Linked DNA regions of Diceros bicornis minor. The protein of the gene in region 1 binds, or shares a complex with, the protein of each later gene. Links are inferred from orthologs where the notes say so. Each region holds a gene or a part of one and is shown on either strand. Other genes may lie near its edges.

Region 1 (7,127 bases):
GAAACATCAGGGCTGACAAATCATAAGCCCTTCCTCATATCCGTGGAATCTGACTCCTAGCTGGGACTCAGTCATTTAAGCAGTTCATCTGAGGTATTCAAGGTTTCACTGACCCTAGTGGGGGATTAGCACGTTAAAGGGAAATAAAACATCTGAAATTCCATTGTCTCCCATCCAGACCTCCTCGTGGGCTACAAAAAACAGAGGAAGAGAGATGATGAAAGCAGCTAGGAAAACAAAAGGATGGGGAGGTAATCTAGAGAGAAGGAGGGGCAGATAATAAAAATGAAATGCCACAGGACACGAAACCTCTCTAATAAACACCTCTGGTAATTATGAACGGGAACAAAAGAACTGTGATATATTTTAGTGACTGAAAAAAGATTCTTTCTCAATAAATTAAAAAAATATATTGTATGTGAAAGAAAGAAATAGAAGTAGAAAATGAAAAATGTAATGGGGTTGATTTTTTTCTTCTCATTCTTTCCTGATCATTACTTTTGAATGAGTTTCTAAGGAAATCAAATAACATCAAAATTTATGTTTTCATGAACACTGTTGCTAAGAAAAGATAAATTAATATTGCCCCACTTTAATATGCAGCTTGTCATCTTGCGTTGAGCGCTTGTTAATATATTTCTATTGGTAACATCAAAATAAGAGCTGTGATTTACTGCAGACTTATTTTGTGCTCTCTCTAGATACATGTGATCATGAGGCCTCACAATAACTCTGCTAACTTAGTAGCACATGCCTCAATTTACATACGAGGAAACCAAGGTTTCCTCTGAGGTTAACCTCTGACAGGTTACATGACTTGCCCAAGGTGATAGTTATTCAACGTCACATTCAGAATTTGACCCCAAGACTGTGATCCCAGAGTCCTCTTCCGTGCCACTCTGCCTCACCATTTAGTCTCGCTTTTACGATGATATCAGTTACCATTCTATGCTAGCCAACTATTCTGGAAATATTGATGATTGAGTTGAAGTGGAGCATTGTCCCACTGAGAACGGGCTTTGGCTACTTTAAGTCAATGATTTATTTAACTCAGTGCAGAAACCACAGACATATTTCAAGGAAAGTAGTGACACCTTCATCCAAACAAATGGACTATCTCTGAGGGTCAAGAGGATCAAAGTCCTATCCAGGGGCCCCTGTGGCAAATTCTACAGGATGTAGGGGAAAAGGAATGAAGATATATGAAAAGGGCACCATTGTATGCACTGCATCTCAACCTTGGCTGCTTAAAAAACAATACAGTGGGTGCATCCTACTCCAGAACTGTGAAAACATGGGTTTATAGAAAGAGTGAGGCCTTTGTAAAAAATTATATGGACCTGGGTTCCAATTCCAGCTCTATTTATCAGCTGTGTGCTCTTGGAGCAATGCCTTCACCTCTCTGAGATTTCTACATCTGTAAACTTGCCATCATAAATCCTACCTCAGTGGGTGATGATTTTATAAGGGTTAAATGATAAAATGTGTGTAGTAAAATGCCTAGCTTGGACCAGGCTTTCAATACCAGTAAGCGTTATTATTAAAAAATGTGATGGTAGAGAGGGAAAGTAGAAGAATCGTGTGGGGAGGGAAAGAGCTTAGGGGACAGAAGGAGAGTCATAAGAAAGACCTTAGATCAGGCCCCCTGTACCATCTTTGGTTCCCAAGTTCAACTCTCTGGCTCTAATAACCAATATCCCCTCTCCCTTCCCTGAGCTGGGCCCAGGGCAGTTTTCTTTCTGTTTCTATTTATGGTGTTTCTGAAGCCTTCCCCTGCCCTCACACCCATGGGCATTTCTCCCTGTGTACAGTGCTTAGCTTTTTCTGTCCAGACTGGCAGAGCTGGAGCCTGGACCTACGCTGGGCAGGGGCCACACACACCCTTTTTAAAATTTATTACCTAATTCTACAAGTTATTCCAGCCGTAGCTTCCCATAGTTTAAGGTTAGGGACCTTAATCAGCTCAATATAACACACATCGCCCTTGAAGAGCACATATAAATCCCATATTTGAGCTGCGCTCTGTGATATATGCCCAGGGCGCACACACGATGAACCAGGTGCCCCCAGGCCCTCCCTGGGAGTAGTCTGCTGTGCTCTAAGCACTTTAAACCCTGTGATAAATCTCCTATGGCACTCAGCTCACTCTACTGTTATGATCTGTTTACAGGTCTGTCTTCCCAGGAAACTCAGAGCTTCTGACCTATCTTATTCACTTTTGCACACTCTCAACTTCAGCACATTGCCTGGTGCACTGTGGATGCCCGATAAATGTTTGAATGAAAGACTCTTTAAATGAGCTCTAGGAGAGAGATATCGAGAGAGATTTCATTCTGGTGCTGAATTTACTTGCAGAAAAGGTGATATGAAAATCCAACCACAGACTTGTATTTCCCATTAGATTTATTAGCTTTTCATAGCACCTCTTTGCAATGAAGGGAAATAATCAGCTTAAATCGCAGCCAGCAGATTATCTTGAGGTCTTTTGGAGAGAACAGCAATCCACAGCCCTGTGTCTGTAGTGGCCTTTTCTCTGTCTAATGGGAGGAAGGGTGAAGGCTGCAACAACTAGTACTTCCCCCCTCAAACAAATTGGAACTGAAAGGCCCAGAACGGCAACATGCAGCAAATGTTTCTGGGAGACCGGATGCAACAGGACGGCATGGAAGTCCCAGGCAGGAAGCAGAGGGACCGACCCTCTGGGAGGAATTCCACCCAGGGGCTGTGATGAGCCTGACTGACATAGCCTGCACACCAGACACCGGGCAGCAGCTCAATCTAAGCAGTCCAAGGAACGCTCTGTGCTTCAATTCCAGAAAGTAAAACATCAATAGTAATGATGAGAACCCTTAATTTACAGTTCATTAAATCCACTCAGGTTACCGAGGGGAGAGGCTGAACTCCAAGCCTGGGGACTGAGAGCGGGACACCATTGCAGCAGCCCCGCTCCCGGGAAGAACTGCTTTACCTTAAGGAACTTTACAAAGGCGCTGTGCAGACTCTGCTTTCTGGGACGAAGGGAAAGTGGAGAGAGACAGGTCCTATTGTTGAATCTTCTAAAAGAGTCCAAAAGGAAATGCTGAATGCTGGGGCGGCCCCTAGGCTGCTCCCTGGAAGCTGCAGCCAAGTCTCCAAGCAAAAACACCCGCTTAGCAACCCGTTCCTAAGGAAGGTCACTCGGTGGCTTTTTTTTCTTTTAAAGTGGCAGGTTACTTCCAGCAGTGGAACACAACAAACATGTGGGGTGATCAGAGGAGCACAGCCTACAGGAGAAGGACAAAGAGAAGTCAGCTTGGGGGACCTGGGCAAAAATTAGGTCAAGTTGTAAGATAGCCTCCCTCATGTCATCAGGGGTCACTGGGCATTTCTGGTAAAACACAGGCGATGCTCAGAGGTGGGTGGTTAAAACCATAAAAGGCCGCAGTTGTAGGGTGAGGGTGTCCAGCTTATCCACAGCAAAGGCTTCCTGGAGGGGCTTTGGGCACCAGCGAATGTGGCTCTGGAGTGTTTTCTGGTTAAAGGTGGAAGATTGAACGTACAGGCTAATCTCTGCTTATTCTCTGAATCCCTCTAAAATTACTGAAAGAGGACATAAATGTTATGGCTCAAAAAAGCAAAGGAAATGGGAGAAGAGGCAAAGTAGATAGACGAGTAATGGAATGAACAGACCAAAGAAAGCCACACTCCAAGTATACGTGTGTATGTGTGTGTATTTGGGTCTCTGTGTGTATCTGTGTGTCTGAATGTGTGTATGTGTACGTCTGTGTCTATGTGAGCCCGTGTGTATGTGTCTATGTGTGTCTGTGTGTCTGTGTATCTGTGTGTATGTCTCTGCGTGTGTAAGTATCTGTGTACATGTCTCTGTATGTGTATGTATGTGTGTCCCTGTGTCTCTGTGTATGTGTATGTCTGTGTGTGTATCTGCATGTGTGTCTGTGTACATGTGTCCGTGTGTGTCTGTGTGTGTATGTATGTGTGTCTCTGTGCGTGTATCTGCGTGTGTGTGTGTGTGTGTGTGTGTGTGTGGTGGTGGGGGGCAGGTAGCAGTAAGAATGAGGAAATGACCTGATCTACTCTGCAGAACTCCAGAGAGGCTCTTAATTAGGCTCAGTGGTGTTATGGGTTGAACTGTGTTACTCCAAAAAAGAAATGTTGCAGTCCTACCCACTGTACCTCAGAATGTGACTTTATTTGGAGATGGGGTCTTTACAGAGGTAATCAAGTTAAAATAAGGTCATTCGGTGGGCCTTGATCCAATATGACTGTGTCCTTTTAAAAAGGGGGAATTCAGGCACAGAGACGGACACACACAGAGGGAAGATGATCTGAAGACACGAGGAGAACACCATCTACAGTCCAAAAAGCCACCTTTCTTCTCCAGGGAAGTTGAACCAGAGACACTAGGTCTCAAGTTCCCAGGTTTGGCAGAGGGTGGGTGAGTCTCAGGGCTGGAAACTGGATACAAAATGGAGAGGTGGGCAGGTTGCTCTCCTTTTCACAGAACTGAGGCAACTAAACATATATCTTTAGGTCCCCCTGTGCCACCTCCACAGGCATCAAATTGGAAAACGTGAAATATTGTTTTCTGGAGAAACTGAATAGCCACAAAGACTAGATCCAAGATATCGTCGTTTCTGAATTCTCCAATGAAAAAACAAGCATATCGCCCTTACAAAAAAGTATTATAGAGAAAATGAGAGGATTTCAGGTTAAGAAATTCCACACCTGTAGTTATAGAAAGAGAGAACCAAGGAAATGAAAAGGTAGAATTTATCAAAGCAGTAATATTAGAAAACATCTCAGAAGTGGAAGAACAGGCTTTTAGATTGAAAGAGACTATCTATTATTTAGTGCTGGCATAAGGAGACAACAAGAGAACTTGTAGTGTGTGCTCTGCATACGGTGGAAAAAATATTCTCCAGAGAATTCATAACCATTGGCTTGCACTATGCTGTTGAAGCATCTTGTTTATGCTACCTATATCACTTAGGAACCCCCTAAGTGACAAATTTTAAAAAATGGTCTCAGGCTACTGGATCCCTGTGGGGTGCCAAGCAAGAGCACAAAAGAAAAATACAAAACTTTTCTGGAGGGACACACTTTCAAGTAGTCAGTTCAGGATGGCCACAGATTAACCTTGCTGAAGATGAGCTCACAATCCAAAATTAGACAACACAGGGGGAAACAATCAAGAGTCTGCAGACAATCAGAGAGCACTACTAGATCCTCAAGAACTTCTGATAATACAATGATCAGATGGAGAATATAGAAAAACAATGACCATATAAGAACTGAAAAGGAGGCTTTGAAAATATGAGAAGAGTGAGATGCTATCAAAAAGATTAGGCAAATGTGAAAAAGAACCGGCTAGAACTTTTAGAAATGAATAGTAAAGTTATGATTTTTTTTTTAAAGCAAAGGATGTGTTAAACTACTAATGAGAGAGCTGAAAAGAGAATTAATGATGCAAAAGAGAAATTTAAAAAATTAAAATGTGGCACAGAAAAATGGAAAATAGGAAAGAGTGGATCAAAGACATGGTGGAGAAATTGAGTGGTCCACCACATCTAGTGGAGTCCCAGGAGAGAAGAGAGAAAGAAGTTGAATGCAGGATCTTAAGGTTGAGGATCTTCAACAACTTCCTTAACTTCTCTAGGCTTCAGTTTCCTCATCTGTAAATTGAGGTTAATAATAATAATAGTGACTACTCCAGAGGGTTGTTATGAGATTTAGTAAGTTAATATTGGTCAAATCCTGGCACATAGTAAATGCTGTAAGGTTTATTAAATTAAAAAAGTGTGGATGTTGTCTTAGCTCAGGCTGCTTTAACAAAATACCATAGAGCGGGTGGCTTAAACAATAGAGATTTATTTTCTCACAGTTCTGTAGGCTGAGAAATCCAAGATCAAGGTGCCAGTCCCTTCGGTTTCTGGTGAGAGCTCTCTTCCCGGCTTGTAGATGGCTGCCTTCTTGCTGGGTCCTCACACGGCCTTTCCTTGGTGCATTGGGATGGGGAGAGAGAGAACTCTCTCTTCTTCTTCCAATGGGGCCGCCAATCCTATTAGATTAGGACTTCACCCTGAGGACCTCATTTAACCTTAATAACCGCCTAAAATCCCTGTCTCCAAATACAGTCATATTGAGGGTTGGGGATCAACATGTGAGTTTTGGGGGGACACAGTTCAGTCTATGGCAGAGGTTTACGGTAAGAGATCGTGTACTCAAAGTGGTCAACTGTCATAAGAGGTAGGATTTGTTCACCACTCTTGTGCTAATAACCTTCTGATTATGACCTCTCTTATCTTTTAATATTTAACTAAACTAAACCAGTTCATAAGAATTATACATCTCCTCACAAAGGTCTGAAATTATTAAAAAACATCATTCAAAAACATCATTTCTTGCAGAAATTCTGATGCAAGCAAAATAAACGAATCTAGCAGATTTGTTTTAAATCAAAATGCAAAAATCTCACTCTTTTAGGTTAAGTGTTCCTAGCTGGCTAAAGAGTTCTTAATCAAGAATAAGTGTTGAATCATGTATCACGAGGTTTTTTCCTGCATCTTTTGAGGTAATCAAATACGATTTTTCTTCTTTCATTTTTTAATGTGGTGAATTACATTAACAGGCTTTTTAATGTCAAACTTTTCTTGCATTCCTGGGATAAGCTAAACTTGGTCGAGATGTTTAAAAGATTAATTGTTGGATTTAGTTACTAATATTTAGACTTTTTGGCTTTACTTTCAAAATTGAGATTGTTTTTCCTTTCTTGTATTATTTTAGTATAAAGGATACTCTAATCTCAAAACAAAGCAGATTAATCTCTCTGTCCTTCTCTGTCTCTCTCCTTCTGTCTCTCTGTCTCTATTTCTCTCTCTGTCTCTGTCTCTCTCTCTCTCTCCCTCTCACACACATACATGCAAACACGCACACACATGCACACGGTATCTGTTCTGTGAACTTGTCTATAAAGTCTTTTGGGTCTGGAGATATATATTTTTTTATTGTGGTAAAATATATCTATATAACAAAATTTGCATTTGGGCCATTCTTCCCAGTTTTATTCAGATATAATTGACATATAATATTGCATCAGTTTTAGGTGGATATGTATTCATTCACAATGT
Region 2 (7,739 bases), on another chromosome or scaffold:
ATCATTTCAATTTTAGTATATGTGCTGCTGAAGTGAGCACAAGATAGCTTTATATTATCCTTTCTCTATCATTATTTTTATGTTCATATGTTTTCAATGATTACTATATCAAGGTCTGACTCTCCAGTTTGCATTTCAGACAGTGGAGTCCATGGATATATTCTCTGAGTCTTACAGGCATTTAAAATTGTGTTCTTATTTTTATGGTAATCTAAACAAATGAACAAAATTGTTTCTGGATCATGTGTAAGGTCACCTTGTAAAGCAGTACTGCCACGAGATTCCAGTGCCTGCATTTATATTTGTGTTTATGATGCATTGGCAACGAGTTGTACTATTTTAATTGTTGTCGACAAATAAAATAAGAACAATGAATTTACTGCATTAGTGCTCAGTGAAGGCCAAATGACCTTCACTGAATGAACATCTCACAATAGTAGAAAGAGACGATATTAGGGTGAATTAGGTCATCATGAAGGAAAGGGTAATTGAAGTATGCCTAATTCAATAGAACTGGGTCAGAGCATCCTCATGTTGAAAGTGGTCATTGTGTATTGCAAAATAATGTCATTCTTATCAGATTAATGTTCATTTGAAATTTGTGTTTAAATTTAACTGGTAAATTTTCTTTGGTTTTATGTTGTATATTGTTTGAGAGCTTCAAGTGTTTAGATAATAGAACAAGATATTTTAAGTCCAAATGGGAAGTTGAGAGGATTGGTCTGTCTACAAACTGTTACTAAATTTTGTGAAAACTTGCCCAGGGAGACGTTAAGTAAGACTAAAGATAGAAACATAAGTTTTGTGGTTTAGAATAAAGCACATTTATTTGACCTAACTTTTCATAAATAGCTTCACAACCAAATGTAACAGCTGCATAACAGTAATCATAACAAGCTGCATATTATTTCTATTGGTCTCATTACTCGTTACGTTTGTGCTATCCATATGTTTCTATTTCCCCTGAAGGATGAAGATCTACAAGAGATGGAGGATTTAGCCCAAAAAATGGAGACTCAGTTTGGCCAGTTTTTTGATCACGTGATTGTGAATGACCGCTTGCAAGATGCATGTGCCCAGCTGCTATCTGCAGTTCAGAAGGCGCAGGAGGAGCCGCAGTGGGTGCCAGCAACGTGGGTTTCCTCTGATACTGAGCCTTAAGGAGGCCTTCCGCTTCATGCTGGAGTTTTAACAACGTTCACCTGTTACAGAGCTCTGGCCTAACAGCTGCAACCTAAAACAGCAGCATTTGCCCTGTTACAACGTGTGCAACTTAAAAGTGCTGCAGTTTATTAATTAATCTTATTTGAAAATATATTTGTATTGTATAGTTATGTAGAGTTACCTATTTGGCTTTTAGAAAAAAATGTTTTCCTTTACCTCATATGCAGCAATTGGTAGGAATATGAACCATGTTAAGTCACTGAATATAAGAACCTTTTATAGATTTCATATGGTCTTTGTACAATTTAGATAAAAGAGCTTTCCTAAATAAAATAAGTATTTAATTTCAGAAACTATATTTTACCTTATGAAACTTCTGTTTTATGAAAATGGCTTTCACTTGACTAACTCAGCAAGAAAGAATATACACAGTTCACACCTAACATCAAAACCTACAGAAACTGCACTACCCTCAGCACATTACACAACAGGCTACAAGGAAAAAGTCGTCTCCTGCTCAGAGCTGTAACAACCATCAATTTTCCTAAAAGCCAATATCTACATTTATGCCTAAACTAGGAAAGGGCAATAGACTTCAGTCCTAGAGACCAATATCTGAGAAAACCACAGGATGAGGATATTATTCCACGTAGTCTTGTTTTTCTTTCTTCCCTAGGTCTGAGACTTTCAGTCGCTTCTCCTGCACCTGTTATGTGTTTATCTTCTGCATCATCCTCCAACTTTCTCCATATCCACACCATCCCTCCGCTCGCTTTAACTATGAGTGTGTGCTTCAAAATATTTGTAGTTTATAAATTTAAAGTGAATATTATCTCTGTAGAAAAACCCAACCAAACAAAACGAAGAAAATTGTCATTTTTAATGATGCTTATGTGAGCCCAGATTTGATTTTATGTTGTGCTTCGAGAAAAAGGTTTCCCAAACTTGATTTACACAGTTGTGGGATGGAGGGCAAGCAACTGGAGAAAATTTGACAATTGCCTGTGTTAACACACACACACCCCCAAGCGAACCGAGCCGAACCCTGGGGCCCCGCGGCTAAACGCGTCGGTGCCCGCCTCCGACGCCCCGGAACGCGGGGCTGCGCAGAGCGGCGGCGGGCGGAGACCTGGCCCGGGCGGGGGCCGAGCCGGGCGCCGCGAAGCCCGCCTCCCGGGGAGCAGGCTCGGGCCGCGGCGGTTGCGCCGAGGAGCCCCGCGGGGAGGGCGCCATGAGGGCCGACTCGGGGGTCGGGCCGGAGGAGGGCGGCCCGGTGAGCGGGGAGGGCGCGGCGGGCCGGGCGGAGGGCGCTGCGCTGACAGCACCTACCCCGCGCGGGGCCCACGCCGACGCGCTGGGGCCCGGGCAGAGCCCCGCTCCGGAGCGTGCGTCCGCCCCCCGGAGCCCCCGGGCCGGGCCGGGCCGGGCCGAGGCGGAGGCTCGCCCCGAGGCCGGCCCCGAACTCGCGGAGCCAGGCGGGAGGTTGCCGGCGGCCGGGGCGCACGTTGCCATGACGACGCGGCCCGGGCCCTGCGGTTCCCGGGCTGCGGGCGAGGCCCCCGACTGCCTCCCCCCGGAGGGTCCGCCGCCGGGAGGAGAGCGCTGTTAGCCCTTTCTCCCTCCCGCCAGCAAATCACCGCAACCACTTGATGGCTACCCCTCGCCCGCCGGCGTCTCTACGCCCGGCCGCGCAGGCCCGACTCCGCCGCCGCGAGTTCCGCAGGGGCAGCCCGGGAGGGCCAGCCCCGCGCCCGGAGGAGGCCGCGGGCCCCAGCGGCCTGGGGGCGCAGCCCGATGGCGCACTGCGCCTGCGCGCGGCCGGGGGGCGGGGTGCGCGCCGGGGAGCGGGCGGCGGCCGGCGGCCGGGGAGCCGGCCGGAGACGGAATGGGGAGGAAGCAGGTGGTAAGCGAGCCTTAGTTACTTTTGAGTTAGGAAGATTTTGTGTTCGCTTGGGCCGTTCTACTTTTGAGGGGCGTAGAGGCTGGCCGTCTGGATGGGTGACACGTCATTTTTGCGGGACTTTTGAAACGTGGCGTTAACGGCGTGAACTGAGCGCCTGGGTAGAACGCCGGCCTTAGCATCTTCGGGACAATAGCGCTTTCGTGGAACTGTCGTTCTTTCCAGTCGAATTGTGACTACTGGACAGTATTAAGACAGCCTGCCGTGTCCTACTCTTGTAGCATTTGTGTTGCTACACTGTTTGAATGATGGATCGCTAAATGGGACAGTTGTAGAATACAAGAGTGTCTAAAATTTAACCCTTTTGAATCGGTGTCTTTTGCAAGCCGAGTGAGATACTGATTTCTAGGCATTTCTGTTTGTTTTATTTTGAAAGATTTCAGAATGCTTCTTAACTGTAATTTCTCTGAACTGCAAACACAACTTTTCCTATTCATGTAAAGTAGCATTTATAAGATTTTTAAAAAAATTCTTTCTGCCCTAAAATGCATTCTTCACGCTGTATAAAATGCTTAAAACCTCCGTGGTTTCCCGTTAAATTAAAAGAAAATCTAGACTCCTTCTCTTGGTCTTCAAGACCCTGATTTTAATCTGGTCCCTGCCTTGGTAACTGTCTGGCAGCCTTACTGGCCTTCTTTTATCTGGAATACTCCAAGCCCAATCTTCCCTAAACGCCTTTGTATTTGCTCCCCTTTGGCTCCTTTCTTATTCAGGTCTCAGCTCAAATATCTCAGAGACTTTTCCTAACTAAAGTGGCACTCCTCAGCCTCCCTCATTTATTACTATATATACACACACACACACGTATATATTACTGTAGTAATATACGTAGTAATACATATATGTTACTATAGTAATATATATATATTAATGTTATCTTCTAATACTTAACCACTAGAATGTAAATTCCATAAAAGCAGTCTCTCTGTTTTGTTCATTAGTGTATCCCTAATGCTTAGAACAGGGCCTGCCCTTTAGATAGAAAGGAATGTAGGAAGGAAGGAATTTTATATGACATTTAGAAATGGTGAAACAAATTTAAAATTGTCCATCTGATTCTCATCAGTATCTCCTGGGTTTCACTTGATGAACAGGGTTATCAAAAGATTTGAAATACATGGAGTAGAGATGCTCTAAAGCTTTTCTTACAAGCAGTTTTCTTCTTCTTTTCCCCCAAAGCGTCCTCCACGAGCCCTTCCACCTGTGCCAAGGTAAAAATAATTTAATTTTATTACTGCGTTTTAAAAATGTAAAATGAATAAAGTGAAAAAATTATACCATTACAAAATGATAATAATTCAGAAAAGACTTCTTGAAAATTTTAGGAATGGCTTCCTAAAAGTTTAAAGGTGAAAAATCCTTGAGTCATTAGTGTAAGTAACGGTTATAGTTAATGTTCTGGTTCAGAGCCTGACTGTTAGCGTGGTAGGATGATGGGTCCGTTCTGAGTGTTTAAGTCTCTTGTTTATCAGAATTCTGATCCTCTTTTGTTTGCTAGAATAGTTTCCGCAGAGTTTAAGCTGATTTTAATCAGTGACAAAATAAGAGTTCTTAATCTGTTTAATCCACTTTATTAATAGACAGTGGGGAATATGTATATGTTGGTTCAGAAAATATTAGGGTTATTTTATTGGCAGTCTTATTAAAGAGGTTATTACTTATAAATAATAAGCTAGTTTGTAAACTAACTGACTGTGTGAAAGCTAATTTTATTTTTAATTTGTAATGATTTAAGTCAAATTTCAGTCTGACAATATAATATATTTCTAATTAATAGTTTCTTTTTTTGTCTTTGTCCTGATTAAATTTGGTCGGTGTCATGTAAAGTGCTATTCAAGGTGAGTTAGTTCACTGTTACTGTAAAACTTTCTAAATGTAGTATTTGGTGTTCAAAAGTTAGTTTGATTCCTTAATGTTTCTCTTAAATTTGAATCTGAATGGTATAATTTATAATACTACAATATCTTTTTATCATAATAATCTCCTCTGACTGCCATTTTTTAATGATGGTTGATGTATAATATTAGTTATGTGGTTGATATTTGACCTTGCAAAAATAAAAGCACTCATCCCTTAATGGAGTCACCCGGAACCTAACTGCTGGCCATTTATAGTTCTGTAATAGGGACTGCATCTTTCTTTGTCTCACTGAGCCAGGAGAGACTGGGTTATGTTACACTAACCGCCAAGTCTCAGGGACTTAGTATCATACAAGGTTATTTCTGGGTAATATGGAGTCCATTGAAGCAACAATCCAGGACAGCTGCCTTTCACTGCCCCTTCACTGATGATGCGGTGATTCAGCCTACTTCCATCCTGTGGTTCTGCCATCTTAACGTGAGGCCTCCTCAGTTGCCACAGCAAGGGAAGAGAAAGCTGGAGGGTTACTCACTGGCTCTTTCAATATTTTGGCCCCAAAATGACACAGATCACTTTTGCTCGAAACCTATTGGCCAGAACCAGTCATAGGCCACACCTAAGTGCAGGGCGGGGGTGGGAGGGGTGACGAGAATATTTGGTGAGCCCACTTTCTGTGTCACAGTTTCTAACATTACTACCAGCAATGAGCTATTGGTGCCACGCTGTGGGCTCTCTTTGACTTTGTCAATTTCTTGCCTTCTTCTCCTAATATGTAGAAGTTGGCTGGACCCAGGGAAGAGAGGGAAAGTTCTTCCCTACTTCAAGTTCACTTTTGAGTGTTCCCTGCATTGAATTTTAGACAGCCTTTTCTGTTGTTGTTCTTTCTGTTTTGTAGATGATATTCCCCTTAGTCGTCCAAAGAAAAAGAAGCCCAGAACAAAAACCACACTAGGTAAGAAGTTGTTCTTTGTTGTATGGGGTCACATGTTTTTCCAGAACCTCAGATGTGATAAACATCACAGATCAAGTCCCTGCTGTGTTGAGGATAGAATCAGGGTCACTTTGAAGCGGTGGGATTCCTGGTGGTAGTGAGGGACAAGGCAGGGTTCAGTCTGAAGAGTGTCTAGAAGCATTCATGGAATAAAGGGTTGTGCCCCCTAAACTCTTACTTCCAAAACATTCTCTGACTCTTTGAGGTCTTTTATCCCTAGATAACATAAGTTGTCTCAAGCTGAGATTGGTTCCAGACCCTTGAACAGGATACTGGATTTAGAGACCTAAGGTTCCTGATCCCTCATTTCAGTCAGAGAATCTCTACAGTAGAGCGTGAGTCTGAAGGCAAGGCTGTATAATGCAGGTAGTAAAGCTCTAATAATGAGCAAGTCTTAGTTATGCACTAGTAATCCTGGATGTTCTATCAGTAACTCAAATTCAGCACGTCCAGAATTCATCTTCACCTTCAACAATAAATCAATTTTTACTTCTCACTTACGAATTTCTGTTAATGGGACCCCCCCACTCTCCCAGTCATTCAAGCTGGAAACCTCAAAGTCAGCCCTCTAACTGTTCCCTTCACTCTCCTGGCTGCCTCACAAGCTGACTTATTCTGTGGTATCTTTTATGTCTCTTTTCCCCCTTTCATCTCCACTGTCACAACTGTAGGTATTTAGATCTCTCTTCTCCCTGAGCTGTTGGGGTAGCCTCCAGCATTGCTCTGTACTTCTAGCTTTCCTCCACTCTGGTCGGTTCTGCCCACTACTGCTGGTGAGCTTCTTAAAGCTCATAGCTGATCATGCCTTCCACCTGGTCAGAAACTTACATTGGCTTATTGCCTGACAAATGGAGGAATAGATGGGGGGGGGAGAGAAGAAGAAAGAAATGGAGATGAGTGCATAGAGAGAGAAAGACATATAGACACAGAACAGAAAGAAAAGAGATGCAAAGAGACTTAGATTCACAAAGATACTCACTGAAATGCTAGGCTCTAAAAATACACTCACAGTTAGTTATAGACACACATATGGACCTAGAAAGGTCACAAGTGGAGGATGCGGTAAAGACAGTGTTGGGGGAGCAGAGGTGCAGTCTATCCCAGCTACCAGTCTTCCTTCTTGTAAAAAAGAGAAAAAAATTCAGTGCCCCAGACCAAAAAGGGGATATATTGCTAGGCTTTTATTAAAATTGTTCATTTAGGGGCTGGCCCAGTGGCATAGCGGTTAAGAGGCTGAGAATTCTTAAGGCATGAGACAAATAAGAGTTCTCTATGGTGACGGTTCTGTTGTGTTTTCACCTTTTTGAAAGTTCTGAGGCAATTTCTCCTCCTCCTCTTCTTTTGTTCTTTCTAGCCCACTGGCTTTTTTCTTCCTCAGCCTTCCTTATTCCCTCATTTATTTCTTTTCTCAACTTAAAGCCCAAAGTTACAGGTGAGGAGGAAGGAAATCAAGATTTGGGGCACAATCAGTTCTGTATGAGAAGGGGTTATTCTATAGGAAACATTCCAGTTCCCTTTTTCCTGTCTTTTTAAGACTTAGTGATCTCTGCTCAAGTTATCTCATTTTTCCCACTGTTTTTTTGTAGCTAGTGCTTCTCTGGAAGGCCTTGTTCAAACTGCTGTTCATAGGCCTTCTGAGGGCAGTGAGCTGCCAACTAAAGACCCCAGAGAACATCCAGAAGCTCCTGTTCAGAGGAGACAGAAGAAGACAAGGCCACCTCTTGGTATGTAGAGAAACCAAGGTTAGGTTGTGATTTGGAGAGT

What was found. The genes of interacting proteins can lie anywhere in the genome.
Region 2: CC2D2A (region 1) and TMEM237 share a complex: the UniProt entries of both Homo sapiens proteins name them as parts of the tectonic-like complex. The link is inferred for Diceros bicornis minor from reciprocal best matches to the Homo sapiens genes CC2D2A and TMEM237.

What each region holds. Positions count from the first base shown.
Region 1 is NC_080747.1:11,985,343-11,992,469, reverse strand, and holds the start of CC2D2A (coiled-coil and C2 domain-containing protein 2A), read right to left. Parts: upstream 3,078-7,127; 5' UTR 2,969-3,077; intron 1-2,968. UniProt on the Homo sapiens protein: Component of the tectonic-like complex, a complex localized at the transition zone of primary cilia and acting as a barrier that prevents diffusion of transmembrane proteins between the cilia and plasma membranes.
Region 2 is NC_080749.1:79,490,030-79,497,768, reverse strand, and holds the start of TMEM237 (transmembrane protein 237), read left to right. Parts: upstream 1-4,716; coding exon 4,717-4,724; intron 4,725-4,951; coding exon 4,952-4,962; intron 4,963-5,879; coding exon 5,880-5,936; intron 5,937-7,561; coding exon 7,562-7,699; intron 7,700-7,739. Other genes in the region: MPP4 (MAGUK p55 subfamily member 4), read left to right, coding at 970-1,161. UniProt on the Homo sapiens protein: Component of the transition zone in primary cilia. Required for ciliogenesis.